Linked DNA regions of Stegostoma tigrinum. The protein of the gene in region 3 purifies or fractionates together with the protein of the main gene of each other region. This does not show direct contact. Links are inferred from orthologs where the notes say so. Each region holds a gene or a part of one and is shown on either strand. Other genes may lie near its edges.

What was found.
Region 1: the proteins of srpk2 (region 3) and tight junction protein ZO-2-like purify together in Homo sapiens (affinity purification with mass spectrometry; 3 studies listed by BioGRID and IntAct, with this or other methods). This does not show direct contact. The link is inferred for Stegostoma tigrinum from reciprocal best matches to the Homo sapiens genes SRPK2 and TJP2.
Region 2: the proteins of srpk2 (region 3) and rbm26 purify together in Homo sapiens (co-immunoprecipitation; 3 studies listed by BioGRID and IntAct, with this or other methods). This does not show direct contact. The link is inferred for Stegostoma tigrinum from reciprocal best matches to the Homo sapiens genes SRPK2 and RBM26.
Region 4: the proteins of srpk2 (region 3) and gtpbp4 purify together in Homo sapiens (affinity purification with mass spectrometry; 3 studies listed by BioGRID and IntAct, with this or other methods). This does not show direct contact. The link is inferred for Stegostoma tigrinum from reciprocal best matches to the Homo sapiens genes SRPK2 and GTPBP4.

The regions. Positions count from the first base shown.
Region 1 is NC_081356.1:27,980,007-27,987,744, forward strand, and holds the start of tight junction protein ZO-2-like, read left to right. Parts: upstream 1-4,588; 5' UTR 4,589-4,711; coding exon 4,712-4,783; intron 4,784-7,738. UniProt on the Homo sapiens protein: Plays a role in tight junctions and adherens junctions. Acts as a positive regulator of RANKL-induced osteoclast differentiation, potentially via mediating downstream transcriptional activity.
Region 2 is NC_081359.1:29,917,278-29,925,302, reverse strand, and holds the start of rbm26 (RNA-binding protein 26), read left to right. Parts: upstream 1-4,505; 5' UTR 4,506-5,092; coding exon 5,093-5,151; intron 5,152-8,025. UniProt on the Homo sapiens protein: May be involved in the turnover of nuclear polyadenylated (pA+) RNA.
Region 3 is NC_081378.1:22,540,261-22,548,243, forward strand, and holds the start of srpk2 (SRSF protein kinase 2), read left to right. Parts: upstream 1-4,575; 5' UTR 4,576-4,656; coding exon 4,657-4,672; intron 4,673-4,885; coding exon 4,886-4,946; intron 4,947-7,983. UniProt on the Homo sapiens protein: Serine/arginine-rich protein-specific kinase which specifically phosphorylates its substrates at serine residues located in regions rich in arginine/serine dipeptides, known as RS domains and is involved in the phosphorylation of SR splicing factors and the regulation of splicing.
Region 4 is NC_081355.1:136,686,519-136,694,482, reverse strand, and holds the start of gtpbp4 (nucleolar GTP-binding protein 1), read left to right. Parts: upstream 1-4,582; 5' UTR 4,583-4,668; coding exon 4,669-4,716; intron 4,717-7,964. UniProt on the Homo sapiens protein: Involved in the biogenesis of the 60S ribosomal subunit. Acts as a TP53 repressor, preventing TP53 stabilization and cell cycle arrest.

The DNA.
Region 1 (7,738 bases), on a different chromosome or scaffold from region 3:
TTACACACTTGTTTTGTGTGTGGAATGAGCTTCGAGGAAATGTTGGATGTGGGTATGGTTGCAATGTTTTAAAAGACATTTTGAATAAGTAGGTGAACAAGAACAGTATGGAGAGCCAAGCACAAGCAGGTGGGATTGGTTTAGTTTAGGATTATGGTTGGTCTGAAGGGTCTGTTTCTGTGCTGTGTGACTATCACACTACAACAGTAAGGTTTGCATATTCTTTCTTTCCTCTAGAATTCTAATTGCTGACTCTGCTCTAAGTACAATAGGTCCACGTTGTATCAAATATAAAATTAACTAACTTTTCAAAATATGGTACTACAAATGAGCATTGAATTGAATGGTAATCTGGGCCACTTTGGCTAGCTGCCTCAGATTCTCTAACAAACATTGGCCTTCAGAAACTGAGGTGCTTTGTCCAACTGATGACTCATTTTGTGCAGCCTCACTTTTATGTTTGAGAACGAGAGTCACTTTCTTGTCTTTGTACACTGCATAATAACAGGACCTCTTTGCATTTAGTTTTAATGGACATGCGTAGCTTTTTCTAAGACTGAGGGTGAAGTAATGTGGGCAGGGACTGTGAGTGTGTTTTTTTTCAGAAAGATAGCAGCAAGATTGCATCAACTTTATAAGCTTAACTCCTCTCTTCAAATTATCATTGTTTGTTTGCTTTAAAACTCCTGGGTGGAGTAAATGACAGGAATGTTTCAACATGTTTCCAGTGGATTGTTTGTTGCAGCAGTTTTGTTTTGCATTAGTGAATGCTTCTAAGGCCACAAAAAATGGCAGGTGGTCTGCAAAAAATCCTAGCTATTGGCGAGAACTGTAGTCTTTATCTGATTACTGTGTGGAAAATGAATAATTTTGTTTTAAATTTCTCTTTGATGGAATTGATGACGAAACAGAAGGAAAGCCACTCAATCCATTTTGAGCCTGTGCTGGCTCTTTCATAGAACTATCAAATTTGATTACTAACTCTGATCTCTTTGTTTGGAAGTTTAATTTTGATTCAAAATATCCTCAGTCAGTGCATTCCTAATCACTGTTTGCCACACTAACTAAATATTTACTCCTCTTAAAGTTAACCTTTCAAATCTCTGCTCTCTGGTTACTGATCATCTTGCCATTGAAAGGAGTTTCTTTTTTAGTTACACTATAAGCACGTCTATCACATCTCCCCATAGCCTCCTGTTTGCAAGATAATAAAATGTGAGGCTGGACGAACACAGCAGGCCAAGCAGCATCTCAGGAGCACAAAAGCTGACGTTTCGGGCCTAGACCCTTCATCAGAGAGCTCTAGGGTCTAGGCCCGAAACGTCAGCTTTTGTGCTCCTGAGATGCTGCTTGGCCTGCTGTGTTTGTCCAGCCTCACATTTTATTATCTTGGAATCTCCAGCATCTGCAGTTCCCATTATCTCTGATACTATTTTAGCCTCCTGTTTGCAATCTGCTTTACTGAGGTCGTTTGCCTTTGGATGAGTTAGGCTGAATGGCCTGTTTATATGTTGTAAAGTTGACACCAGGTTCCTCTCCATTCTCCTTCTCCCTGAAGTCTTCACATCCTTCCTAATAGTTTTATGTGCAGAATTGGATGCAGTTCCCTAGCTGAAACCTAATGATTGTTTTCAAACCGTGTTCTTGCTAACCTCCCTGACAGTCAATTTCCAAGACTCCACAGCATAAAGCTGAAAACAAAATTTATTTGAATAAAACCAAACTCCACGCTGTGCGGTTCACCACCAACTGTGCTTGCTATTGCTTCTTTATTTTTGGCTATCAATTCATCAGACAGTTGGAAGATTATTCCTGTTTTCTTTGGAAATGGTGACATTTTCAGTTCACATTTGAGTTCAACAGTTGAGGTGAAACTTTGTGCTTTTGTTATCAACAGATATGTTTATTCATAGCTGGAAAAATAGTTTCATCTTTGGTCCAGAAATACACCCAACTGCAGTGAGTTTTTTTTAAAAAATGGGTTCCAAATGTGTTTTGGATTAGAAGATTAGTGTCATTACAAGTTCATCCAAGTTTTGGATGATCTCGTTCAAAAAAAGGTCCTTTTTTGGTTGTGCCTTTTTAAATATGGATTATGCTACAAAGTATTAGTATGACGTGTGTTCCCTACCAAAATGCTTGATTTTTGGCTTGTATTCTATTTCTGTAGTGAGAACCGCTTGTTATGATGTTAGTGGATTTGGGAGATGGAGCTTTTGATACTGTCACTAAAGAAATAGCATTTACTAGCAGACTGCCTGATCTTTGTATGCCCACTCCTTTTTTTTTTACAAAAACCTGTTTGAGCGTAGGGTTCAATTTTGTGTTCATAGAACATAGAACAATATAGCGCAGAACAGGCCCTTCAATCCTCTGTTGCGCCGACCTGTGAAGTAATCTAAGCCCATTCCCCTACACTATCCCATCATCCATCTGCTTATCCAAGGACTGTTTAAATGCCCCTAATGTGGCTGAGTTTAGCTATATTGGCAGGCAGGGTGTTCCACATCCTTGGCACTGAGTAAAGAACCTGCCTCTGATATCTGTCTTAAATCTATCACCCCTCAATTTGTAGCTATGCCCTCTTGTACAAGCTGAAGTCGTCATCCTCGGAAAAAGACTGTCACGGTCCACCCTATCTAATCCTCTGATCATCTTGTATGTCTCTATTAAATCCCCTCTTAGCCTCCTTCTCTCAAATGAGAACAGACCCAAGTCCCTCAGCCTTTCTTCATGGGGCCTGTGCTCCAGACCAGGCAACATCCTGGTAAATCTCCTCTGCACTTTTTCCAGTGCTTTCACATCCTCCCTGTAATGGGGCGACCAGAACTGCATGCAGTATTCCAAATGAGGCCGCACCAGCGTTTTGTACAGTTGCAGCATGACACCACAGCTCCGGAACTCAATCCCTCTACCAATAAAACCGAACACTCCATAAGCGTTCTTAACAGCACTATCAACCTGGGTGGCAACTTTCAGGGATCTATGTACATGGACACCAAGATCCCTCTACACACTCACTCACTACCAAGCATCTCTAGGTATTTTAATTGTGTCTGCATGCCATGGTTCCGAGTTGAAATGCAGATCAACCATGATCTTAGTTAAATAGTGGAACCGGCTTGAGAGGACAGAATAGCCACCCCCTGTTCCTCGTGCATAAATGAAATAGGCTGGGCAAGGCTCTACTTCCAAATCCATTGGAAACTCACAAATTTCTGCAAGCTTTCTATCAGCCACACATATAATAAAGATCATTTTAATGAAATATTGTCCTAAAACAGCTCCAACCTGTTTTTTTTTCCCTCCTTTTTGTGGTACAATTTTAAAAGTACAACTAAGGAAAGCCATGCATTATTCTGTTGTCAGTTCTCCCAGTTTAACAAAATCACTGAGCTACCTGTTTTGTTTAAATTTTGGTAGCCTTCTGCTTTCCAGAGTGTTTAATGAAGTCTGGCCAACTTGGGACCAAGGCAGCATATTAATGTGTAAATTGTGCAGAAATACAATTGTTTGTAGCAGTAGCTTATAAAGTAAGGTGCTGAAAGATGTGGAAGCTGGTGAGGAACCTAATCAAACATGGCCTAGCAGTAGCACTTCCTTCTGAGGAAGGGTCACCAAGCCTGAAACATTTAACTCTTTGGTTTTTCCTTCACAGATGCTGCCAGACCTGCTGGGCTTTACCAGCAACTTTTTGTTTTTGTTCCTGATTTACAGCATCCACGGTTATTTTGGTTTTAATGGCTTAGCAGTTGCTATATAAGTAGGAAAAGGAGGGGGCTAATCAGACCTCTTTGGGCCTAACATTCAGCAAGATCACGGTTTATCTGTATCGTAACACCATCCACTTGCCCTGTTCTGCACCTCCTTGATAACCTTCTCTTGAAATCTCTGCTTTTGAAATTTTTGATTGATCCACTTTTTGGCCCACTTTGGGGTGGGGGCACGCAGTGGGGGGGAAAGAGGGATTCCACCTTTTTGTATACACCACATCGGGTGACCACAAACCAAACCAAACCAAACCACTACCGCCGCAAGAGTTGAGGTTGATACTCCTTAACCTGTAACCAGCTTTCTTCTGATTTGTCAAGGTATCTTGTTTTTGAACTGAGCCTGAAGTGAAATTTTACAGGCTAAGTTTCAGGTGTCTAATAGAAAGTTTGTTTATTTTTGTTTCTGGAAATTCTTTCTGAGCTGAAAGCAAACTGGATTTGTTTGCAAGCCTGAATCAACCAAGTGGACAATGAATGGTTAATGTGGAGCCCTGTCTCATTCCTCCAGTTCGCAGGCTTAATCCCACTTGTTGTAACACTGAGTGTTTGTTTCTTTTTCATAACAGTGGATGTAAGAAAAAAACAACTTCCTTTTTGAAGTTAATGGCTAGTAGAAAACACATACATACTTTTCAAAATTGGATGAGATTAGCATTACTCTTCCATTCTTGTGCAGTATCGCCCTACTTAGTATGTACAATGTAAAATGTGCTAAATTCAGTGTGGCGGCCAAGGTTCTGATTGTGACTGACTTGTGTCCTGAATGGGCTGTTTTGCCTTCCCAGCACAATTGTAACAGGCAGGATTTGCGCTACATGTAGGGCAGCGATGTATTAAGCTTGCATAATCTAGCTTGATGGTTTCTGGAAATGGATGATTCTCGGTGCGAGGACTGACTAGTTGTAGGCGATTGCAACCGTGTAGTGTTGCATCTCAGTATGAAGTCTATCCAAACGCTGCAGCGAAAATGGGCCAATTTAGTGCATTCGTTCAAGCTCTACAGTGGTCTTGTGAGTCTTTCTAAGCTACTGTCACTGTTTTTCATTAATGCTTGATGGTCAGTCCCCGTAGTTTGTTTCTTTTCAATCTTGTAATTGTTCACAGTTCGCTTCTCCTGGTAGTTGGAAAATTCAGACTAACAATTGCATGCTGTTGTAGTTTAGTTTAAATTAATGTAATGATCTCGAAGAGATTAATTGTTGGGATGGCAACTAATTTTTTTCAACACCAGCTGTATGTATCATGTAAAGCTTTTAGTCAAATAATTCTTAATCTGTGTTAATATTTTCAGCTATTTTCTGGAAACTGTCCAGTGTGCATGTTTGAATTGTGAACCCCTTGTACCTGTTGAGCTGTGGTATTGTTTTGGGAATGACAAAACACGAGGCAACCATTTGGTTTGTTGTGCCTACGTTTACCCAGGGCCATGAAGAACTCTTCCCTTTTTTTTTCTGAAAGTTACTATTGAATCTGAACAATGCTTTGGAGACCCAAAGCAAAACCAATCTCCTCTTGCTATTTTTCCGTTTTATCTTAAAACAAATCTGCTTAATGAACCTCCTACTGGAAACAGAGTTGAGGCTTTCTAATATCATCTTGGCACATAAGATTCATCTAAAAGCAAACTAAATCTTAAAGTAATTATTTTATTTCTCATCCCTTATCCCTTATTTTGTCCATTCTACTCGGCTGCAGTGCTTCTCAAAACTATGCACGGTAAAAGAGTGGTATTTTATGAAAATGCTTTGTTGCTGCATAATTGTTCATCAGGGAGGCCACATTTCTGGGCCTTTCAGCTCCTTTTTCGTTCGAAAATTGTCCTTCCTTAAAAAGGAAAGGCACATAACCAAGAACTAAGGACTATAAAATGTGAAAATTACAAGTAGGTCAGCGAACATCTGAAAGTGGAATTCTAACCTCCAGTAAGTGGTTGACATAACTACCGTGAATGCATTTAAAGGGAAACTAAATATACAAGTGAACTGAGAAAGAAATAGAAGGATATATTGATGAGTTGGGAGAAGCATGATCACTAGCATACAATCAGTTCAGCTAAATGGCCTAAATTTGTGCTACACCATTCTCTATAACAGAAGGACTGTGATATCAGTGACTTCTGTTCACCTTTTCCCTCTCTCTTCCCTTCTTTCTTTAAATTGAAGCACAGTTTCTGTGTTTTGGTGATTTTCTTGAAATGTTTGAAAGTACACTTTGCAGTTGTATGGCTCTCATCTGAGGTAGAAAATGTTATACCTTCCACCTGTAGTCTCCTCTTTGGAACTCTGGTACTAAATATTAATTAAGTAATAGATCTATTAGGGAATTTGAGGAAAAGCTTTGTTACCCTAAGAATGTGTGTTCGGGTATAGTGAGGTGTATACTACAAGCTACTGAAACAACACCAGAGGAGGAAGGGAATAGATGAGTATGCTGATAGTGAGCTGAGACTCGTATGGAGCATAAAGCATTTATTTGGAACACTTTAGATTGAATGGCCTGTTTCAGTACTGGAAAACTTTTGAAGTAATTCTGAAGAGCACTTGCCCAAAAGGTTCCCCCATTTTTTCCTTCTCAACTGATTGAAATGCTCGTCCTATAAAAATGCTACACTTGCGAACAGTGGATTTTAACTAAGCAGGTGAGATTTATGTGACTTGAGGGAGCATGGTCATGAGAACTGAGTTTAGTGAGCAAGTCTTTGTTTATTTTTATATTTTTCTTGTATTTTCTCCCCCATCCTTTTTTTGTTTTGTTTTTAAACAATGATATAAATGCAAGCTGTGAAACACCATTATTTCCCCCCTCCCCCACCATGGGAATCCTAGAACTCTTACTACAGGAGCTATTTATTGACCATCTTCATAGACTCCCTAGAGTCTGGAAGAGACCGTTCAGCCCATCAAGTTCACAGCAAACCTCCAAAGAGTGTCTGTCTGACACCACCCTCAAATCTATCCTTGGAACTTTATTTGCCATGACTAATCCACCTAGCCCGCACATCCCTGGACACTATATGGGCCAATTTTTTGCATGGCTAATCCACGTAACCTACACATCTTTAGACTGAGAGGAAAACGGATCATGGGTGGTGGTGGGGGTGGGGGGGTGGGGGGTGGGGGGGGATGTGGGGAGCGGTGGGAAGAGGTGGGCAGCAAGCGTGCAGACATGGGGAGAATGTGTGTGGAGTTTGCACAGTTGCTCAGGGCTAGAATCCTAGTTCCTTGACACTGAGGCAGTGGTGCTTACTACTGAACCACCATGCTGCTGGTGTTTTGATTCTATTTACTGTCCTATGTACTGAAACACAGTGAAAAGTTTTGTTTCAGTGGTACAGGCAGATCATAGTAAGCAAACAATGTACAGATCAAAAATACTTAGACAGATACCTTCAGGTTATATTGCACAGGGTGTGTACTAGGTGAGATCAACATTTAGAGTTGATCACTCTTGTTTAGTAAGATCAGTGTTATTTGAGGTTAGAGTGTCCATTCATCTAGTAATAGCCAGGCAGAAACTGTTCCTAAACCTGCTGGTGTGTGTGTTCAGGCTTCTGTATCTTCCTGACAGAAGAGGTTGTAGGAGATCATTGCTAGGGTGCCGTGGGTCTTTGTTGGCAGCCTTTGTGCAGCAGTGAGCCATGTAAATGAAGTCTGTAGATGCAAGCTTGGTTTCTGTGATGGTCTGGGCTGTGCACACCACCTTCTGTGGTTTCTTATTGTCCTGGGCAGAGCAGTTCCAATACCAGACCATTATGCACTTGGACAGTATGCTTTCAATGGTGCATTGGTAGAAGTTGGTGAGGGACCTTTTATGGACATGCTAAATTTCCTCATGCAACTCAGGGGGGGAAAAAAAAAGAGGCATTGTTGTGCCTCCTTGACCATCTATATGGGAAGTCCAGGACAGGTTGTCAGTTATGGCCACTCCAAGGAACATGATGTCTCGCTCTCGCTCTCGCTCGCCGA
Region 2 (8,025 bases), on a different chromosome or scaffold from region 3:
CTCAGCAACTTAATAATAGGTTGTACTGAATGCTGACAACAAGCTCTATTTCATCAACACCTTTGTTGTTGAACGGAGCCATGATGTGGAGAAGCCGAAGTTGGACTGGGGTGGATAAAGTCTGAAGTCACACGACACCAGGGTTATAGTCCAACAGGTTCATTTGAAATCACAAGCGTTCGTAACGCGGCCCCATCCGACAAGTGCACCTGACGAAAGGGCTCCTCTCCTAAAGCTTGTGATTTCAAATAAACCTGTTGGGCTATAACCCGTGTGGTGACTTCTGACTTTATCATTGAAGGTTTTGCAAATTCTAGGGAACTGAAATAAGCACCAAAAATGGTGGAAAAACTCTGCAGGTCTGGTAACATCTCTGTAGATTGAAACAGTTAACATTTCAAGTCTAAAGTGACTTCTTTGGAATATTTTTAAATTTATCACAATGCCTGTCCAACATATAATGCAGGATAAGGAGAAACTGCTGGAGATTAGATGTAGGAATGGAATAGGCCACGAAGGACTTTGAAAACGAGGGACAGAATTTTGAAAACAAGGCATTGCTTCACTAGGAACAATAATCCTTAACTCAGGTTCAAATGCTACAACTGATTATACTCAGGGCTTGTCTGATCATGCTTTGGGATGTTTGGCTATATAACTAGTGTTCTATAAATGTCAGTTGTCTTCACTAAGCAGACCACGTGTTTGGTTCATATGTGCATCCAACAATCGGATCAAGGTTGCTCTGCATTTTCAAATGGAATCCAAATATTACTCTCCGTGACTAGCATATGTCCCAGAAATATCTCAACTTCTGTGACTGTTGTGGATGGGTAATGCTTTACCTGACAGAAAGTTACAGGATGAAACATTGCCTTCAGAAAGCAGTGGGTAAGATTTGCTCAAGACCTGAAACAACTCAACAATCTCTTATTGATTGGAGCAGAAACTCTCCCCTGACATACAAGGTTCAATATATTAAGTTGGAAAACTGGAAAATCAGGAAAATTGTATGTGATGTGCACCAACAAGTACAGACCAAATGTAACAATTAGAAGCATAAAGAGCAAAATAACCTCCACAATAAATTTGTTCTGTCTTTCATCCATTGTGCATTTAAAAAAATTCAAATCACTAAACCATGCTTCTTGTATCTTTTCCTAAGCTACATCTCACTCATTCCCTGACCTGCAGTGGTTTCCAATTCCAGATTGTAATTTTGTTGCCTAACCCTTTCTTTTTAATCTTTTCTGCAGCCTCTTGAAAACTTGCCATTCCTCTGACATTAGCATATTTTGCCTTTCACAATTGCTTCATTCCTCTGGCAGTTATGCTTTCAGACACCTGGGCCCCAAGATGTTTAAGATCAGCACTTCAGGCGTGGTCTCTCACATAAACAAAAGTTTCTGTCTTGTTGCAGCAAGCTTGGTGAAAGGCCTCTACACTGAAGTCTGAAGGAAAATGGATTGGCGTAACAAACCAGATCAAAATATTGGTTAGCAGTTTCACTCTGCTGCACTGCTGCCAATGCCAAGAAAATCTAGCCTTGTGAAACAATTAACTATTTTAAGAAGGAGATTGTAATGCAAAGTCCATATATATTAGCAGGTGTACTCACATAAAGCAGAAAAGGTTGATGATTAGCCATGATCTAGAATATTGAAGTAAGCTCAAAGGGTCTGAATGGCCTATTCCTGTTTTTATGTTTCTCTAACTAAATATATCATATTACTCATGGAGATCTGCAATCATGGAACCTTGCTTTGTGCTTAGTTAGCTGATCTTATCTATGATCAAAGTCAATTAGCTCAATTATGACATATTACTTTGTGTTCTCCTGAGTTGTAAATTTCATCCAAGGGTAAGTAACGTTTGCACTAGAAGCAAAGAGTCTGTAACAACCCTTGGTACCAGTGAGCAAAGAGGACAAAAATGAAGCCAGCTTTGTGCTGCTCTTTACTGTACGATGCTGCCTGTTGGAAGTGCACACATGGGCATGTTGAGTTATGGTTAATAGTGCTTCATAATTACAGCCTTGTATTTAAATATCCTGCTGAAATTGCTCAGCATCACACTACAGCAGAAATTTGAAATGGTATAGAGCCAATGAAGCACCTGTGGAATTGCTATCCAGTGTAAATCACTACTTGCTCGGAAGAGAGCAAATTTTGCAACATCAATCATATGAAAGAAGTCACTTACAGTGTGCTTCTGTTTATGTTGGGCTTGTGTGCAAAAAGATTTAACTTAGTTGATGACATGTGCACATCAAAAAGAATTAGCTATGTGAAGACTTTGAATCTGCACATATCTCCAGCACGGTTCCAATGTAAACTGTGATCTTCAAAAGAGGAAACTGGAGTGAAAAGGGGAACTTTGTTGAGAGAGGAATAAAAAAAAGAATGGTTGAATCTAAAAGCAAACATAACACTGACTACAAAAGCATTTTATAGCGATTCAGAACAATAAAAAAATTTACTTTGCTTTTTTATATTAATCTGTGTGTCTTTGACCCTCTATTCACCAGTACTGCAGCTGCCAATGTGCACCATCACAATCTCACATTTATTATTGGTTGTCACCAGTAAAGTTCTTACTCTCTCCCACCATGGCAGGTCCTTGGATATCTATCCATCTTTGCACCTTTAAATCTGTCCTTTTCCTGACATCTTTTCCCTCCTCCTTTTCCCAATTTCCCCAACCCCTTTACCCTCACCCTCTGCCTAATCCTCCCCTCTCTGGCCGCCTTCCTCTCTCCCAGCACCACACCTCTCCCTCTCATTTATCTCACTTCCCCTTGATGATTGACGCCCCCTTACCACCCACCACCCAACTTTCTTCAACCCCACCCACCTTTCACCCTTACTGGTTCTTGCCCCAGCCAACTCTCCACCTTTTACACCACCTTCTCCCTCGCACTCTTTTATCCCTAACCAAATCTTTTACCCCCAACCCTTTTTACCCTCCTCCCCATACCTTTACCTTAGTCCCTTTTGCCCTATCCACATCCTTCCCTTTTCCTGTCCCCAGTCTATCTTTACCCTCACTGCTCCCTGCCATTCCTACACTCCCATCCTCTTCCTCACATCCTCCTTCCCTCTCCACCACCATCTTCCTCCATACTCCCTGCTTCCCTCCCTTTCCATTTCTCCCCTATCTGTTCCCCAACTGCCCTCTCCCATTCCCCCTCCCTTTACCTTTTTACCCTTTCCCCTCACTTTTTCTTCCCTACCCACTCACACCTTTACCTCTTCCCACCTATACCCTCCCCCTTTCTGGACTTTCGCATTCCCCTTTCCCCCATTTACCTCCCATTCCCATCTACCCATCCACCACTCCCCTTCCCCCAGCCCCTGACCCCACTACCCTCATCTCCCTTCTCCGGCGACCCCCATCTCACACTCCACCTCTCCCTCTCCCCTTCCCCCACTCCCCTCTTCTGCCACTCACCCTCTCCAACTCTCAAATTCTGCCACTCCCCTGTACGTCCACTCACCCTCCTCTTCCCCAACTCCCCCCATCTCCCTTTCCCCATCTCTGCTCCCCAATCCATCAATTGCCCTTCCAGCGCTCCCCTCAACTGCCCTTCCCCCACTCCCCATTCACTATTGCCCCTCTGCATTCACCCCTCCCCTAAACCCACTCTCTTGTATTCTTTCCCAATACTGTTTCCCTTCCCCATCTCCACCTCCCTTTCCCACAATCCTGTCTCCCTCATTCTCCATCCCCTCTCTCTTTCCCACACTTCCCTCTCCACCTTGCACCCACTCCTCCCTGCCCATCTCCCCTTACGCAACTGCCCTCCCCTCCCTAACTCCCCCATTCCCCTCCCACGCCACTCCCCATTCCCCTCCCACGCCACTCCCCATTCCCCAATCCCACTCTCCTTCCCCCATTCCTCTCTTCCCCCATTCCCCTTCCCAACTCCCCTTGACTTTTCTGACCGGGGACATCTCCCTACCATACGCCCCTCCTTTTCTACCACTCCTCTCCCGAGTCACCCCATCACCGTTCTCCCCACCCCTCTCTCTTCCCATGTGTGTGCCCAACTCCTTTCCCCACACTCCCCCCTCTAATTACCTCCAATCTCCCCGTTCCGCCACCCCTTCCACTGATTCCCCATCTCCCTTTTCCCCTTACACCCCTCCAACTCCCCTTCCCCCCGACTCCTGCCATCTCCCCTTCTCCCCACAGCTCTGCCTCAACTGCTATCACCCCTTCCCCCGACTCCCTTACGCCCCTCAACCCCTTGCTCACACACCATCCTCCCTTCATCCCCTATTCCCCACCTCCTCTCTCGACATCACCTTTTCCACTAGCCCTTCATCCCCTATCCCACTTCCTTTCCCCCAGGCTCTTCACTGTCTGTGTGCGTGTGTGTGTGTGTGCGCGTGCCTGTTGAAATTTGGATGCGTCCTCCAGATGGATCGATACACACACACATTCTCACCACGCCCCCGTAGTCAGCCAGCAGGAAACCTCGCGAGATATGTGTGCGGGCCGAGAGTAGGAAGCCGCCATTTTCTGAATGCTCTCGCCAAGAGCGAGAAATGTTAAGAGTTAGCCTGGGCCCAGCTGGTGAAATACTCCTGACGCTTGCGAGTGGGGGGCGGAACGATTTTTTTTAAAAAAAGGAAAGAAAAAGTCTCAAACTCTTAACACTGTTGGCGTGCTGCGCAGGCCTGTACGTTTTTTTTAAAGTAAAAAGATATTTTTTAAAATATTTTTTGCAGGCCCTGTCTCTGGTCGTGTGTGTGGACACGTTGAGCATCCGGAGCCGCAGCTGCTATTTGTAAATTTTTGTTTTCGTTATTAGAAAGGGGGTAAAGAGCCTTTCGTTTCGATGTTCGGTCTTTGATTTCCCCACCCCCTTCTCCCTCCAAAGGGGGAAGACGAAACAACCCCCCAGTTCGTTTAGGTCATAAAGCATCCCCCTGCCCCGCCACTTGCCACTTTCCTCCGTCCCGATCTTTCCTGCTTCCCCCCCCCTCCCTCGTCAACAAATTGTTTAGTGTTTGACAAGAGCCGATCGGCCTCTGTTATCTCCCACCGCCCCCCAAAAAAACCTTCTCCCTTTCCAAGCTTGGTCACAATGATGATAGAAAATCTCGATGCCCTCAAGTCGTGGCTCACCAAGACCCTGGAACCTATGTAAGTACCAGCGAGTTTGGACGATCTCAGTGCATATCCGGGTAGTTAAAGGAGATAGATTCCACGGGGTTATTGCAGAGTTATTGTAGTTCATTTTGGGGGAAGAGGGTTGGAGGTGGTGGATAGTCAAGGGAACGAAATCGGTGATCCTGCAAACAAAACTCGCTCAACTTCAGAATTCAGCAATAGTATTTCGTCGGCTGTAGTTCTGCAAAATTGGTTTAGTCCCTTAACATTTCGGACATGTCGATCATTTTCAAGTTTTTATCTGAAGGATGGTGCGTTGTTTATATCTATTTTTAACACTGCTGGCACATGGTGAGTACTTTTTTGGCTGATGTGTCGTAAGCATTCACTCTCCATTGCACAGTATTGAATACGCTTGAGATGTTCATCGATACCTGTACGTTGATTGGAGGGTGTTTTTTTTTTAACAAGTTGCGTTTCTGCAGCAACATTGAATTGAACGTCGAGAAGCCTTCCCCTGCGATGTAGTCCAGTTCAACAGTATCTCTTCGCACGTGATCATGAGATTTACAAGGGTTTTTAATCTTGATTTGTGCGGCAAGTAACAATTTTTGTCCTTAGCAGTGTAAATGCGTTTCTAAGTGACTGTTGTAATTTGCATTTTATAATATTTGAAGCCTATCCACTGGCCGAGTTGTTGATGCACATGTATTGCACCTTGTTATTTAAAATATTCATCGAATACCTGCTTGAAGCCATTAAGCCAAGTTTTTAGTGTTTATTTTAATCAAACTGTTGGGACTTGAACCTTGGTCTCTTGGCTCAGAGGTAAGGACACTACCGCTGTGCTACGTGGGCCCTGATTTCTTCATACATTTGTCAACTTGTAGGTGATTTTGCTTGAAAGTAGTTGATTATTATCTTACATGATAATGCCTTCCCCTTTCATTTCTTTGAACCTGAACAATTATTTTAAGAAATCAAGTCTGCTCTTAAACTTCTTAGTTGGCTACAAGTAAGTACTCAATGTGTGCACTATTTCAGTTAGTCATTTCTTGTGGCAGGTGAAGTCAACAGACCATGAATTATACTTAGTGTAACACAGTTCTCAAAAACCACATGCTGAATAGATTTCATGTCTTAAAAGCAAAGTTATACCATCTCCAAGATCTGCTTCAATATTTTCACTAAATGTTTTTAATCTACTGCATCCTGACCTTTGTTTTTGACACTTGTCTTAGTATCTTTTTCTCCATCTTCCCGCCCTGTTTATGGTGTTCCTTCCCATGATTGTCTAGATGTGTAGAACATCAACTGAAAATACGGATCTCCATTTTGCAGGTCATGTCAGTGAGACCTGTGCACTTCAAAAAGGCAGATTTTAACAATGGGATCACAAAACTGTAAAACTAATTTTACTACTCTTGCCTTTCGTGGGCATGATGCACAAGTAGTCAATCCAGGGACCCCACACAAGACTTTAAAAAAAGGATCGCTGCTGCAATCATGAAGATCCAATCATTTACATTAGCAAGTCAGCTGATACTGGCAGAACCAATTGCCAACGTATATTTCCTCAAATAGTGTGGTTTCCATCGAGGTTGCAAAATGCACCAGACTTAGATGGCTTTAAAATGCATTTTCTTGTGACAGGTTACAAAAACTGACTTGCATGTGCTTGCATAAGTAAGATTCTTAATACCTGTGATTGCTCTTCCATGGTATTGTGTATGATAAGTTATAGATTAAATCTTTTAATTATCCCTGCTAACTTTGTTTCTGTTTTTCTATTTTGCCTTTCTGCATTCTCTTTGTTTGATGTCATTTTCCTCCCTTTTTCTACTTTCTTTTGAGATATAAAATTGGGCTTAAAAATGAGGAGATGCAAAATGTTGTCAGTGGTAGGGGAAATGTGGGTATTGTGGACATTTGTATGTTTGTATATACTATTTTGGGAAAATGTCCTTGTAGTGGCACTGTGGGAGTTGGGGATAATGTGGCTTTCTATTGTTTCCTGTTTTCCCCCAACACAACATTGATTGCTGATCAACTATGATGTGCGCTGTAGCAGCTTATCATGGTTATTTTGACAGTACCGACAATCCTGTGATAGCAATTTACTAAGAAGCATACTGGTCGTAACGTTGTGGGAATGTCATTGCATCCCAGGTTCCTCTTCAGCCCTCACCATCCTGATGAGGATGTCAATGACCACTCCCTTGGTCATTGTCAGAATCCGCTCCAAAGCCCATTATCAAAGAACCGTTATTGCAAGAACAAGAGCTGATCAAGGAGAAGGCTGACCAGTACTTAAGCCGGGGAACTAGAAAAGGGGCAGTAAATTGACCTTGCCCATTTTGTGTACGTACTAACAACAAATTTAAAAACAAATACTTTTAAGCTAATATTTCCTTCCATCATATGCCTCAAATTCTTCATTTTCCTGAGATAATCATTACTTTGTGCCATTGTATCACTTAATCCTTTGATCCAGAGCTGAACACCTGTATCCTTCATTCCTTGTTCCACAGTTACCTCGTTGTTCTCACTTTCACTTGTTCCTTCCACAGAAGAGTGGCAATTGACAAGAGTTTTGCTCACTCGACCCGTTTCCCTTCTGTTCATCGTTGATATTTGTTTTCCTCAGAAGCCTTCTATTTTCTTATTTCTAGAGTGCAAATTAGAATTTCGGTCAGATTACTCCTGATGCTGTGGTTATGCTAGCTGCCATCGATTGCTGGAGACATTTATTTTAGGTTCATGTCAATAGAATTAAAGTAGTCTTATTTTGTTCTTGATATCTAGTTCACAACTCAGCCAGCTTCCTGAAATATTAGTTTTCTTTGTAGTCATCAGCATTTGGGGTTTCTTTGTTCTGTCAGACTTTGATTACTTAATTACACTTAT
Region 3 (7,983 bases):
GGCATCTACCGACAATGTGGAAAATTGCCCAGGTATGTCCTGTACATAAAAAGTAGGACAAATCCAACTCAGCCAATTACTGCCTTCTCAGTCTACTTTTGGTCATCAGTAAAGTGATGGAAGGTGTCATCAACAGTGTTATTAAGCAGCAGCAGCTCAGCAATAACCTGTGCAGTGATGCTCAGTTTGTGTTCTGCATGGGCCACTCAGAACAGCCTTGGTTCAAATATGGACAAAATAAATGAATTCCAGCGGTGAGGTGAGAGTGACAGCCCTGATATTAAGGCTGGATTCAACCAAGTGTGACATTAAGGAGGCCTAGCAAAACTGGAATCAATCGGTATCAGGGAGCAATCTCTGGTGATTGGAGTCATACCTGACACATAGAAACATGGTCATGATTGTTGGGGGTCAGTCATCTCAGCTCCAGGACATCTCTGCGGGAGTTCCACACATTTGTATCCTAGGCTGAACCCATCTTCAGCTGCTTCATCAATGACCGGACCATCATAAAGTCAGAAGTGGGGACGTTCGCCTATGATTGCACAATGTTCACAACTATTCATGACTCCTCACGTACTGAAGCGTTCCACATTCAAATGCAACAAGATGTGGACAATATCTAGGCTAGGGCTGACAAGTGGCAAGTAACATTCACGCCACACACATGCCAGGCTGCAGGAATACTGCAACGGGTAACTCATGTCCTGACTTCCCAAAGCCTGTTCACCATTTACAAGACAAGTCAGGAATATGATGGAATACTCTCCACTTGCCTGGATGAGTACATCCCCAACACCGTTCAAGATGCTTGACATCGTCCAGGACAAAGCAGCCCGTTTGATTGGCACTACATCCACAAGCATCCACTTGCTCTACTACCATTGCTCAGAGCAGAGGTGTGTATTATCTACAAGATGCACAGCAGAAATTGACTAAAGATCCTCAGACAGCATCTTACAAATCTACGAATACTTCCATGGAGAAGGACAAGGGCAGCAGATACATGGGAACACCACTACCTTCAATTTCTTCTCCAAGCCACTCACCATCCTGACTTGGAAATATATCACTGTACCTTCATTGTCGCTGGGTCAAAATCCTCAATCCAGAGCAGGTGCTCTGCAGTAGTTCAAGGAGGCACCTCACCACCATCTTCTAAAAGGCAACTAGGAACAAGCAATAAATACTGGCCAGTCAGTAATGCCCACATCCCACAAATGAATAAAAAAAGTGGAGAGATTGTTTCCCTTTCTGTCCAGGTCCAGAGGGCATAATCTCTGAGCAAGAAATTGCCCATTTAGGACAGAGATTAGGAAGCATTTATTTGCTCAGTGGCTAGTGTCATAGAGTGTTACAAGTCAACAGCTCAGATAAAGGCTGAGTCTGTATTGGTCAAAAACAACTGCCTAACTACACTAATGTCACTTTTCGGCATTTGGCCCATAGTCTTACAAGCCTTGACATCATATGTGTACATCGAAATACATCTTCAAAGTTATGAATGTTTGTTCCTCGAACACCTTTACAAGCAGTGAGTTCCAGATTACCATCACCCTCTGGATGAAATAAAATTCCTCACATTCCCTGTAGGCATCCTGTCCCTTATTTTAAATCTATGCTTTAAATCAGTCATTGATTCCCCCAGCAAGGGGAAAAGTATTCTCCTGTCTATACCCCTCATAATTTTAAACATCTCATTTAATAGCACACTGTCTCCTCTTCGAGGAAAACAAACCATTCTATCCAATCCCTCAGAATCATACAGTCAAACAGCATGGAAACAGACCTTTCATTCCAACCACTGCATGCCAAGCAAAATTCCAAAGTAAACTAGTTCCTCCTGCCTGCCTTTGCCTATCTCCCTCCAAGAATTTTGATTCATATCCTTAGCCAAATGTCTTTTAAACATTTTAATTGAACCGCATCCACCACTTCCTCTCAAAGTTCATTCCATACATGAACCAATCTCTGCTGAAAAAAAATGATCCTCATGTCTTTTTTAAAATCTTTCCCTTCTCACCTTAAAATATGCCTCCTAGTCTTGAAACCCCCCCACTCTAGAGAGAAACCTTTCAGCTTATTCATATCCGTCGGGATTTTATAAACCTCTAAAAGGTCATTCCTCAACCTCCTACGCTTCAACGAAAACTGTCCCAGTCTATCCAGCCTCTCCTTTTAACTCAAACCTTCCATTCCTGGCAACATCCTGGTAAATCTTTCCTGAACCTCTCTAGCATAATAATATCCTTCCTTTAACAGGACACAGTGTTCCAGAAGAAGCCTCACCGACATCCTGTACACCTTCAACATGACGTGCTAACTCCTACAGTCAAGAGTCTGAGCAGTGAAGATAATGAATCCCTCCTTAACCACTCTGTCTATATTGGACGCAAACTTCAAAGAATTATGGACCTGAACTCCTAGGTCTCCATTCTACACTACTTCTGTATACAAGTACATAACTCATGAAAGGTGGTTGGACATGTTGAAGAAAACAGTTAAAGTATGTGGGCGGCCCGGTGGTTAGCATTGCTGCCTCACAGCGCCAGGGACCTAGGATCAATTCCACCCTTGGGTGGGTGATACCCAAGGCCCATCTATTAATTGTATAAGTCCTGAACTTGTTTATTTACCAAACTGCAATACCTTGCATTTATCCAAATTAAACTCCATCAGCCACTCCTCAGCCTATTGACCCAATTGATCACGATCTGTTTGTAACCTGATGTATCCTTCTTCACTATCCACTATACCACCAATTTTAATGTCATCTGCAAACTTACTAACCATACCTTCTGTATTCTCATCTAAATCATTCATATAAATGACAAACAAAAGCGGACCCAGCAACAATCCCTGTTGAACACCGCTGGTAACAGGCCTCCAGTACAACAATCAACTCTCTCCGCCACAATTCTGTGTCTCCTGTTGTTAAACCAATTTTGTAACTAATTGGCAAGCTCATCATGAATCCCATGCTATCTAACTTCACTAATTAGTTTACCATGCAGAACCATGTCGAAGTAAAAAGTCCAAGTAAACAATGTCTATCACTCTGCCCTTACCAATCTTCTTGGTGACTTCTTCAAAAAACTCAATCAAGTTCGTGACACAAGATTTCCCTAATGCAAAAATATTGCAACACCCCCTCCTCTTATCTTCTTGTGTTTTGTCTGAAGACCCTAGACTCTCCAGTATTGAACTGTCAATTCTGCTCCTGTCTCAACCATGTCTCAGTGATAGCAATTAAATCATCCCCCCTTGTTTTACTTCATGCAATCAACTCATCTGCCTTATAAGTCAGACTCTTTGCATTAAAATAAATATCATCCAACTTTGCCAAGCTCCCTTGTGCCTTAACTAGCATATAATTTCTATGGATTCCTGACTTCCTTGCTATCTCTTTTGATTTTGGTTCCCCATTGGACTTTCTCTCTGGATCGTACTGCTCTGCCAAGTTAGTTTAAACACTCCCCATTAGCGCTAGCTCACCTGAATCTGTACAATTCTTTACTACATATGGCTGTTGCAGCTGCATTAGTAAGTATATTCAAGTCGGACATGTACAGATTTTTAATCAGTAAGGATATGGCAGGAAAGTGGAGACAAGAAATATGAGATTAACCATTTTCTCAATGAATAGCAGACCAGAGTCAATAGGCCAAATGTCCTACTTCTGCTCCTACAACTTATAGTCTTACTCCCTGTTCCTATGACCTGCAGTGGTAATATGCATATAGCAAAAACTTGTATTAACATAGCACCTTTAAAATGATAAAAACATTCAAAGTAAGTTGGCAATAGTATTACAAAGTAAAATGATGCTGAGCCACAAATAAATCTCCTAAAGGAGAAAAGATAGATGGAGATAGAGGGTATTCTGAAGTTCAGGGCCTTGGCAACTAAAGGCAGGCCATCAGGAGAGGTATGATTAAAATTAAAGATGCCCAAGTGATCAGAATGGAAGAATGCAGACTTCTCAGAGGAGCATGAAGCTGTAAAAGATTACTCAAATATAGAATTCTGCTGTTAGAGATTAGAAAATGTTTGCCAAATGATTCTTCCAGTACTTACTTAATACAAATGAAGTTTTAAAAAGATAACACAGAAGGAAACTTTGTAAATCAGCTTTGATTGATGTACAAATATACCAGACATTTGGTTAAACAATATTTTACATTAATGGAAAATAAGTTGAAGAACAGTCAAAGAAGGTTGCACACAAGTCCACATCTTTGACATTGCATGAACGCAATATTTTTAAAATAAACACAGGTAGTAAAGCAAATGAACATGATTATCAATACATCAAACGACGGATATCTGTGTTGCTTTACATCTCAATGTGAAACAATTTATTTACTCATTCAGGGTTAAATGATAGATTTTTACGTTTCGTTTGTTGTTAGGAACGTTGTCTTGTAAGGAAACCGAAATATTTATGTTCGAAGCATGCACAAACAGAGGGAGGTGTAATTATACCTTTTGCTTCTTCGATGTTTGAATATATATTATAGGCCCTTTAACTTCCGAGTTCCCATCTAAGGCACGTGACGTTAATTGTGTACCGGTCGTCCAGTTTCCTGTGCTCGAGCGCTGGGAAGTTGACGGTTGCGCCTGCGCGCGGCTCCGCGAGGACAATCCTGCTGGAAAATGAGTTCCAGGAAAGGTGAGGGGAAAAAAATAGGAATTAACGCGTTTGTCCACTAGTCTATTTAAACGTCAGGCACTTTTCTTTTTAGAAAGGAACACATCACAAATAGAAACAAACCTCCTTACATTACACGATTGCCTGGATATTTTGTTTTGGTTGTTAAGTGCTAGGTATATTTAAAATTATATTTATATAATTTCCTCCTTGTTTTCCGTCTTGTCTTGTCAGTCCTGGCTATTCAAGCTCGAAAGAGGAGGCCGAAAGGAAAGAAAGAGAAGGCTCATAAAAAGTGAGTAGTGCAGAGTGTGGCTTGTGTAAATTGATGCTGCTTCTCTGCTCTAGATGTTTCGGGATCTGCTAACGGCGCTTTGGTCTTGGGCAGAAAAAAAGCTTTATTCATTGAATGATGGCATAATTTTTAAAAAAAACTCGATATTTGTGCTTATACACTATTGCATCCTCCGTGATGTTTATTCCATTGCTTGGTCCTAACATACGTTTTTAGAAATGACGGCCTTTTTGTTGGCATTTTGTCTAATCTGGGCTTGACCGAATTTGGTTTAAAATATCCAGTGTAAGTTAATTGTTTTGAGAAAGTGCCATCAACTGTAATCAACTGTTAAGATGAAGTCTGCTTTCTTCGGTGTGGATAGGAGTTTTCTTTGTAAACTATTGACATTCTCATGTAGTTTTGAGATGTGTGAGCCATTCAGATTGGATGTGCATGTTATGTCACTTCGGTATGATTACTTGATGATCGTTTTGTCTCAAACATAACAGCTCCTGTTTTTAATTTGTATTGTACTGTATATTTTGTTAACATTGATTTAATGTTCTATCTCTTCCCACTATCACTTGGCCCTGTGCTGCATCACATAGTGGAATTATCCACTGAGCCATGAGGGAGTGATGATGATTGGTTTGGTACTTGATGGAAATTCATTTAGTTCTATGGTAACTGCATTTGTGTCTGATGCCTGTGCATTTCCTTAATATTTCAATTTTCATCCGTTCCATGCATGACCACACAATAAAGAGAGGAGGCAAAACTTTTGTCCTGGAGGAGAGATTGAGTATTATTGGTATTCATACTGATGACATTTCACTCTTGTAACAACAAATTAATTTTGTATACAAGTCACTGAATGCCAGTAACTTGTTTGATTCTAAATTTGAGGCTCATGTAGTTTCAAAATTTCGTGCTAATTATATTTGTAAATTTGTGGAACATCTTTGCTTCTAAAGCAACAGTGAGAAGATTTTTTTTCAGTGCATTGTTGCACGTGTGTGTTTGTGTTCTAGGGGTGAGCTTCATTGAATCAATAGTTTAATATATTCCTGGCATTGTTATGGTGCTGAATAAAATATTCATCCATTGACCAACGAGGTATGAATAAATTCACTTTGGCTCGAAGTTGGACCTTTTTAATGTTTGAACCAAACTGGTGTGTAACTAGTACCTTTTTAATCAGAACAAATTAAAGTAATAAAAGTGCAAAATACTGCTGATGCTGCAAATGTGAAATAATAACAGAGAATGCTGGAAATACTCCTCAGGCCTGGCAGCAACTTTGGAGGGAGAAAGAGAATGCCATTGACTTTAAGCATTAAGTCAATTCTGGGGAAAAAAGTCAGACATTTTTGGTTTTAAACAAGTGTAGAAGTGGAGGATGGTTGCCAAGTGCAAGAGGAATGTCCTGTGGCTAAATGGAAGACAGAAACAATTCAATGATGAAAAGACTAGTGGTACTAGGTAAAAAGAGATGTCAAGGAAATAAAGATGAATCTATTGTAGGTGTAAATGGGGGGGAGGGGAGGCGGGGGTGAGGTCACTGGTGCAGCTTTTGCCTGCTCTTAACGTTTCCAGCATTTTCTATCTTTTTTTCATGTTTTCATCCTTTTTTTCTTGCTATTCCAATATCTTTTATTGGTGTTGCTTCTTGCTCAAATCAAGAATTATGTAAGTGATCAGTTGCGAACAACAGGCTTTAATTAGGTGATATGAATTTGCTTAATGTTTTGAGTTCTTTAGCTTAGGTCTTGCTGTTGGATTACTTTTATATTGGCGTTTAGGTTGGAATCTGGATAGCTGATATCAAAAATGTGATTAGAAATAATATTCTCACTAAAGAATGCCAGATCCTTTAGTTGGTGTTTCCCACCCAGAAATTCAAAGCAAGTTAGTATGAAAATTGCAGATGCTAAACCATAATCTTCCTGATCTGTCTTCATTCAGGAATTCTTTTAGGTTTGAGAATTGAAAAAAGAACTCCATAATTTAAGAGGTGAGAGAGCAACCAGAAAATTATAGACCTGTTTAACATTGGTTGTGGGAAAGTTATTGCAATTCGTAATTATGCTTGGGAGAAATATAAACTTAGAGAGTCATAGCGTCATACAGCATGGAAACAGATGCTTTCGTCAACCGTCCATGCCGAACATAATCCCAAACTAAACTAGTCATACCTGCCTGCTCCCTGGCCCATATCTGTCCAAAACTTTCCCATTCATGTACATATCCAAACATTTTAAATGTTGTAATTGTACCCACATGCACACTTCATCAGAAAGTTCATTCCACACGTGGACCACCGTCTTTGTTTGAAAAAAAATTGCCTGGTCTTTTTTTAAAATCTCTCTCCTCTTGCCTTAAAAATTGCCATCCTAGGCGTTAACACTATCCACGCATAGAACATAGAACAGTACATTACAGTACAGGCCCTTCGGTCCACAATGTTGTGCAGGCCCATTATTCTAATAAGATCAATCTATCCTACATACCCTACATTTTACTATCCTCTATGTGCCTATCCAAGAGTCCCTTAAATGTCCCTAAAGTCCACAATGTCCCTTCGGTCCACAATGTTGTGCAGGCCCATTATTCTAATAAGATCAATCTATCCTACATACCCTACATTTTACTATCCTCTATGTGCCTATCCAAGAGTCCCTTAAATGTCCCTAAAGTATCTGACTCCACTACCACAGCCGGCAGCACATTCCACATGCCTACCACTCTGTGTGAAGAACCTACCTCTGACATCTCCCCATACCTTCCTCCAATCACTTTAAAATTATATCCTTTGTAATAGTCATTTCCACCCTGGGAAAAGTCTCTGACTATTCACTCTAGGCCTCTCATTATCTTGTACACTTCTATCAAATCACCTCTCATCCGTAAATCTCAATATTTTTTACACTTCTATCAGGTTCTATCATACTCTAAGGAAAATAATCCCAGCCTTTCTATATAACTCAACTTCCATACCCAGCAACATCCTGGTAAATCTCTTCTGAACCCTCTCTGACTGAATAATTCCCTCCCT
Region 4 (7,964 bases), on a different chromosome or scaffold from region 3:
CAATCCTAAATTGTAATTCTTTGCACACTCAGGTTTCTTTTGCAAATATTGTCCAACCATGGAATCAAACCCATGTTGTACACTGTTGTGAGTTTTGCAAGTGTGGGCTTGTCGCACACAGTCAGTATGATTGCCTGTTGTGAAGAGCCAAAGGGATATGCTGTTTGATTTGATTTGCTAGTCCATAGAACATATGGCTTATGTACATGGCATCACGCCGGTAGTGAAATTCATATATCACTTTAGTTATTTGTGTGATGTGCAGAATATCTTCTGGGCTTACTGGCAGCATCCTATTCATGGTGATCAGAAATCATATTGCCAGTCCATAGGAGTAGCACAAAACAGTGTGTTGTTCAAACTTTTGAGATGTCATACCTTTCCAGGCTCATCAGAGAGATAGGCATCTTTCATGACTAAACTAACTCAGGTCTATTTATGAATTCACATGAAACAGTGAGAAATTATCTGGTCACGTAGCCATTATACTAAAGGATAGCCTAGACTAAAAAGCTGTTCAGTCACACTGAGAGATATATCTAGTGTGTACATAACTACATATATTAATATACAGGAGCCCTTTTTTTGCAAATAGGAAGAAGAGGTACACATACAGCATCCTTTTCAACCAACATGCAGATGGCAGCAATTCTCTGGTTTATTTCTCACAGCAATATGTCGAACAAGCAAAGTTAACATGCCTAGTTTAAAATTTAAACAAACTTTGGAAGTTCACTTTCAGCATCCTCCTCTCTTAAAGCATAATTGTTGTTTTCACTTTACTTTGGGACAATGCTCAAGAAGTATTAATAAATGCAACACACTATGGCAAATTGTCTTTTTTATGCAATTCTCAAATAAATTGAAAAGTTTATATTGCCATGGATGACTGATCTTGCTGTTTTTCCAAACTTCACTTGAAATATGTTCATGGGTTAAAGTGAAACGTCAAGAAATTATGATCCATGAGACAGATCAAGAGTGGCACATCTGTCCTTGCATAACAAGTGACTCAAGCACTGTGAGCATAATTTAATCAACCTGTAGATAAAGAAAAATATTTGTGTACAAAAGTTAACAGCAGTTCATTATGTTGAGTCAAGGTCATCTATCCCCATTAGATCAAATAAGTTACTGTACACTATTGCATCTGTGTTTGGAATAGCTCTTCACTGCACCTGTTCACTCTAATTCTATCTCACTGCCCTTTCTCAGTGCTGTGATCCCTATATAAACCAGTAACTTTTATAAAAAATGTGAACATCGAAGTAACGGTTGACAGAATCACGTCACAACAGTTTAAGTTTTAGGATTTTACTATAACATGCAAACTATAAGTAACATTGGGAAAAACATTGTTTTATATGGCAAATTGTAGAAATATTGGCCAGGACTGGGAAGAGCTCCTCTTTTCATTAATGAAGTTGTGCCATCAGATTTTTCATATTTAGTTGAGGGGGCAATCTGAGACTTGATTCAACATTTCACCCAAAGTCAAAACCTCCAGCAGTGAGGTACTCTCTCGGTACTGCAGTAAGGTGCCAGTTTAGCTTTATAGCTGATGTGGGATCTGACTTTGAAACAAGTGCATTCCTAGTGAACCACAAATAACCAATCCTTGTTGGAGTCAGTAATAGCCTGAAACACGCCACCCATTTGAAATTCATAGTAACTACGTGTGAGGATCCAAGGGTTTGGGTTATAAGGATAAGGAATGACTTGGAAGATAAGGGGTGCATATGTCTATTTAGGAAAGGGAAAATAAAAACTGTATTTGGATTTTTAAACTCAGAACAGAACATGAATGTTTACAATTTTTGTCTCAGGCAAAATCATTTGCAACATTCAAAATTTTCCAGGGAACCTTGATCCAACTTGTGCAGCCATAGGAAATTTAATGGGGGAAAGTAAACTTGAATATCTTCAAATCTTTTTTCAAGGATAAGAAATGAAATTGCTTATCAAACATTCAGTAGTTTCATGAATCTAACAAGATGTACTTACCAAGAAAATATGCCTCCTATTGATATAAATTTGAAGGGGAGGTTCCACTGCTCTTCTGTATTTTAGGATTTGCTTGATGAAGAATCACCCAAACAATACCTCCTACATATGAGCTTTACAACTTGTTAATTTTATGCCAAATTTTAATGACATAGATGTTCTGCTGCTATCTTTGCAACAGTGGTTCTGACATAAATAATTTTAAAATCACAGATTGACACTATACAGAAGGAATTGATTTGCCGTATTGTTTGTGTTGGCTTGAAATTGCAACCCATTAGTCTAATCTCTTGCTCTTTCACCATCTCTGTATTTTTCCACTTTAACTATTTATGCAGTTTCCTTTTGAAAGCTAACTTTTGGAGGACAGCACATTCCAGATCAACAAAGAGTGTCATGTTTATTCCTTACATTTGGCTGGATTTTTGCATGAAATGGAAAATATAGGAAGCATGTTTAGTAAGTTTGTGGATGACACCAAAACTGGTGAGGGAGTGGACAGCGAAAAAAATTATCTCAGAATACAATGGGATCTTGGTCAGTTGGGCCAATGAGTGGCAGATGGAGTTTAGTTTCAGTAAATGTGAGGTACTGTATTTCGGTAAGACAAATCAGGACAGGATTAAACTATTAATGGTATGGTCCTGGGTAGTGTTGTCGAACAGAGAGCCCACGGAGTTCAGGTAAATAGTTCCTTGAAAGTAGTATCAAGGGTAGATACTGTGGTGAAGAAGGCATTTGGCACATTTGCCCTCATTGGTCAGAGGACTGAGTGCAGGAGTTGGGATGTCATGTTAAGGTTATACAAGACATTGATAGGACCACGTTTGGAGTACTGCAGACAATTCTGGTTGCTCTGCAAAAGGGAGGATGTTATTAAACTGGAAATGCTGCAAAAAAGATTTACAAGAATGTTTCAGATATAGTAGGAACTGCAGATGTTGGGAGAAGCTGAGATAACAAGTTGTAGAGCTGAATGAACACAGCAGGCCAAGCAGCATTTGAGGAGCAGGAAGGCTGACGTTTCGGACCTAGACCCTTCTTCATTTTTCTGAAGAAGAATCTCGGCCTGAAACATCAGCCTTCCTGCTCCTCTGATGGTGCTTGGCCTGCTGTGTTCATTCAGCTCTACACCTTGTCTTCTCTTTACAAGGATGTTACCAAGATTGGACTGTTTGAGTTATAAGGAGAGGCTGGATAGGCTGGGACTCTTTTCCCTGGAGCGTAGGAGGCTGAGAAGTGGCCTTATAAAGATTTTTACAATCATAAGAGGCATAGATATGGTAAATAGCGAAGATCTTTTCCCTAGGGAAGGGGAATTCAAAACTGGAGGCATGGTTTCACGGTGAGAGGGAAAAGATATAAAAGGGACCTGATGGGCAACTTTTTGACAGAGTATGTGGAATGAATTGCGAGAGAAATTGGGAGATGCACATACACTTCAAACATTTAAAAGACATTTGGTCAGGTACATGAATAGGAAAGGCTTAGAGGGACATGAGACAAATCAGACAAATGAGATTAGTTTAGTTTGGGAAACCTGTTCAACATTGACAAGTTCAACCAAAGGGTCTATTTTTGTGCTGTATGACTTTTATAAGTCAGGAAATTTCTAGATTTGGCTCATTGCCTTGAGAAAAAGTGCCCTTTGATTTTGGACTGGGATGGGAGGCTGCAGCCCTCGGTGCAGATCGCAGGATTGAATTGCCTCTTTCTGTGCCATAACTTTTCTGTGATGCTATGGAATTGGCCACAAAAGTTGCAGGATGGTCTGCTCCAATTGTTTTGTTCCTTTTACATTCTGTTACTTCCCCATCACACTCATGATGCCCCATTTTACTGTAGTTCGTTCAGCCCACAATTCTCCACGTCAATGCCCTACAAATGTACTGACTCGTGCAGTCCATGGTCCCTCACAGTCCCATGCTAACTTAGTGCCAACTCATGCTCGCCACACACCATTTTACACCACCTAAAGCTAAAACGGCCAATATTTACAAACGGCAGACCGCGACAGCCATGGTAAAATAAAGATCTAAACGTATCCTTTATCTTGTTCACTTTGCTCTTAGTACAGAGGACCCATTCCCCTCGTTCGACACCTTAATTTACAACTATTTTACTTTATTTTCTCTCTTTCTCCACCACTAACAACGCTTTGCCTCCTCCTCGGTCAAAAGTACATATTAAAAATAAATTGACATTTTTCAGTTCCGAAGAGCCATGCTGGAGTCGAAGTTGTCAACTCTGTTTATCGCTCCACAAACACTGCCAGACCTCATGGGTTTCTCCAATGCGCTGTGTTTGTTCTAAATTAAGCATCTTTCACACTCTTCACGAAAATAAACTATTGCTCGTATTCACCAAGGCGCCAATTCTCTAACCCCACCTGCAGGTGTCGGTACAGAAAGGCGCTGTTTCACCTCCCAGACTGGGAGGAGCGCGGTGGCGCTGTTTCGCCTCGCAGACTGAGAGGAGCGTAGTGACACGTTTGGCATCTCTCAGTCTGGGTGGAGCGGTGTGGCGTCGTTTCACCTCCCAGACTGGGAGGAGCGGTGTGGCGCTGTTTCACCTTCCAGACAGGGAGGACTGAACAAGCTGGACCATCTTGTTAAGATTGCTCGTGGTTTCCTCTTCTCTCCGGTTGCGGAGTGGTGGGTCGTGATGGCGCTTTACAACTTCAAGAAGATCACGGTAGTGCCGTCCGCTAAGGTAGGTGGTGGCCGTTTGGAGGCTGCGAGCGACTGGCCTATCAGACGTTGTACATATTGAAAGGCTGGGTTGGGTCAGAGTGGCGAGTAACTGGGCCGAGAGCTCCCGGACACGTGTTCCCCGTCAATCCTATATTTCCTCCGCTTGCTCAGGGCTGAGTGTAACGTCTCGGCCCGCAGCGGATGGGGATGGGGTGTAAAGGTGTATTTATCAGGTTCCGGCAATTCTTAACGTGTTCATAGGTTTGAACCCTCTCCCCAGCCGGCTTTTTATGTTCCACACACACGAACCGATTGGTCACTCTGCACTGGCCAGGTTGGGACAATGATTTAAAATATCATCGTTTTACTGATTACAGACTTGAAGGGAGTGTAGAATCTTTCCAGGACTTGGGAGTAACTCCCTCCATCACCAACCCCTACCCGTCCCAAAAAAAAGTGGCTGTCAATTCCCCTTCAATTTCATCGGCTGGTTAAAGGGACGCCCCAGTCACCGGAAGGCGTTGATGGTTGTCGAAGGCTCTTCCTTCTCCTCCGCCCATGCACCTTCTTCCTGCCCCCGCATCAATGGATCATCTCCAGTTTGATGCGCAGGTTTTCACTGCGCAGCCCGAATGAAATTTCTTTCGCCAGCTATTGGTTTGCGGGATTTTAATTTGGTTTCACTCTTTTTCAAAACCGAAGTTTGGAACTTGACACTTTTGGATTGTTTCCTCTAGCAGAGTGATGATGTGGAGCTGCCGGTGTCAGACTGGGTTGGACAAGGTCAGAAATCACACGGCGCCAGGTTATAGTCCAACAGGTTTATTTGAAACGCAAACTTTCCAAGCCTCAGCCCTTCTTCAGCTGTTAGTGAGAGAGGTAGTGTCAGACACAGAATTTATAAGTAAAAGATCAAACGTTTGCACCATTGATGAGGATGTACTAAACAAACCTAAGATGATGTTAAATCTTTAATCAGTGGAAGGTTTAATTGAATAATATGTATATGTAAATCTTTGCATTCCTTTCGAGTCACAGTCCTGAGAGAAATAAAGGTTTTTTCAGAAGAGCCAGCCTGACTCCAGTCTAAGGCACTTGCAGATTCTAAACAAGGTCTCACATCTAACGTATATTGTCTGACCTAAGATGTCACCACTTCTTTACACTGACAAAAGCCTTCATTCTCTTGGGGCTGCCACTTGAAAGGAATTTGCTGATTTCTGTGTACGTATTGATCAATTAAAACCTTCCAGCTGATTAAAGATTTAACAGCATCTTAGGTTTATTTTGTACATCCTCATCAATGGTGTGAACCTTTGGTCTTTTACTTATAAATCCTGTGTCTGATACTGCCCTCTCACTAACACCTGAAGAAGGACTGAAGCTCCAAAAGCTTGTGTTTTCAAATACACCTGTTGGACTATAACCTGGTGTCGTGTGATTTCTGACCTTGTCCTCTGGCAGAGGGCAATAATTTAGGACTGAGATGAGGGTAATCTTTTGTTGTGAATCATTGGATTCTTCGAGTCTAGAATATGTTGCATAATTGAGTGCACTTGAGTGTATGTGTGGAATAGATAGAATTTTGCAGTCTTGGAGAATCATGGAATATGAGAGACAGATAGAAAAGTGGAGTTGAAGCCGAAGGTTAGCTATGAGTGAATTCAGTGCAGGAGGAAGTTCAAAGTCCTTATGATCTGCTTCAGTTTTTTTTAATGATCTTGTGTCTTCATTATTCAAGTAAGGAGGAAAAAAAATTGTGTGCTTGGGCTTGTTAGTGATTTGCTATCTTGAGAACTTTATGCCGTGCATTTCCCTTAAGTGATGTCAAAGTCATTTCAATACATTTCTCAGTTTGAGTTTGCTAAAACATGCATTTTGTCGAAGTATTTTATCTTGTACTCATCGGGACAATCCACAGATGTCAATAGGGGAAGTAGTGGGAAAGAATTGACTGGATGAGTGCAAGATGAGAAGGCTCCATGAAATTTCTTACTCAGCATTACACACCTCCACAGTTCATTTGTGCGATGTTGTTAACCCAAAAAAATCCTGAGTCCTAAATCCAATAATTATAAGACAAAGAAAATTATTTCAAACACAGATTTTGTGTGCCTGACAAATTTGGACAATCAATATGCTTAGGTAATGGATATCTTGGTTACATCTAGGGTGCCAAAACATTGATGAATTGTAAATTTGTGGCAACTTTCATTGTCACAGGCACAGAATATAGTTCCTAACTCCAGTTAGGATTGATTCAGTAAAGAAAGCCTGAGTAAAGAGTTTCACACGTGGAATTTTGGCAACAGGTGAAGGAAGGTTGTATAGTTTAGTGGGGCTGGGTTAAGGAACAGGAGGTCGAGGTCTGAGGAACAGGCTGAGATCGAAAAGATCATGCAGAAAAAACTTTGAAAATACGCCCCGTAAACTTCATCTCCTTCAAGGTTCCAATAACCAGGTATTGGACAGCAGCAAGGCTTTCTCACTCATCATCGTACTTTTAGCTGATCTGTGTGGAGGCTGTGTCATTGTACCTTCAATTTTAAAAATTCTCATCTTTAGTTATCAATCTCACAAAGGACTATTTAATTTCTGTCACAACATTAGAGGGAGTACTGAATGTATATGTGTAAATTCAGCATCTTTTAAAGTGAGATGTTTTTAAAGACAGTTCTGCTTACTGTCACTGAACTTTACAGATGGGTAATAATACCTCTTCCATTTAACCAGAGAGCGTTCATTTTAACTGTCAGGTTTTTGCAGTTGAAAAAGTAGATAGTTTGTTCAGAAAGACATCCAGATATTTCTGCATCCGAGCTTTGCAGCCTATCAACATTTAAATAATAAGCATATTTCCTTTCCTTTCTGCCAAAATTAACAATTTGACATTTTCCCACTGTGTACTCCATTTGCCACTGACTTAATCTTTTTTTTATAACTTTCTTGTTTCCACTTGACAACTTACATTCCTACCTATCTGTCTGAGATTGGTGTGTTTTGCTACTGTATTTTCCTGTCCCTTAATCCAATTCATTAATGTGAATTGTAATATGTTGAGGCACCACCATTAATCCTTGTGGCACATTATTTGTTACATTTTGCCAACCTGAAAATGACCTGTTTCTACCTACTACCTCCTTCCTTTTGGCCGCCAAACTTCTACCTAAAAGATCGTGATATGTGCTTCATTGAGAGATTTTCCACAATAACCTTTGATCCATCAAATTCCTTCTAATAATTTAAGTACAATGCATCCAGTGGTTT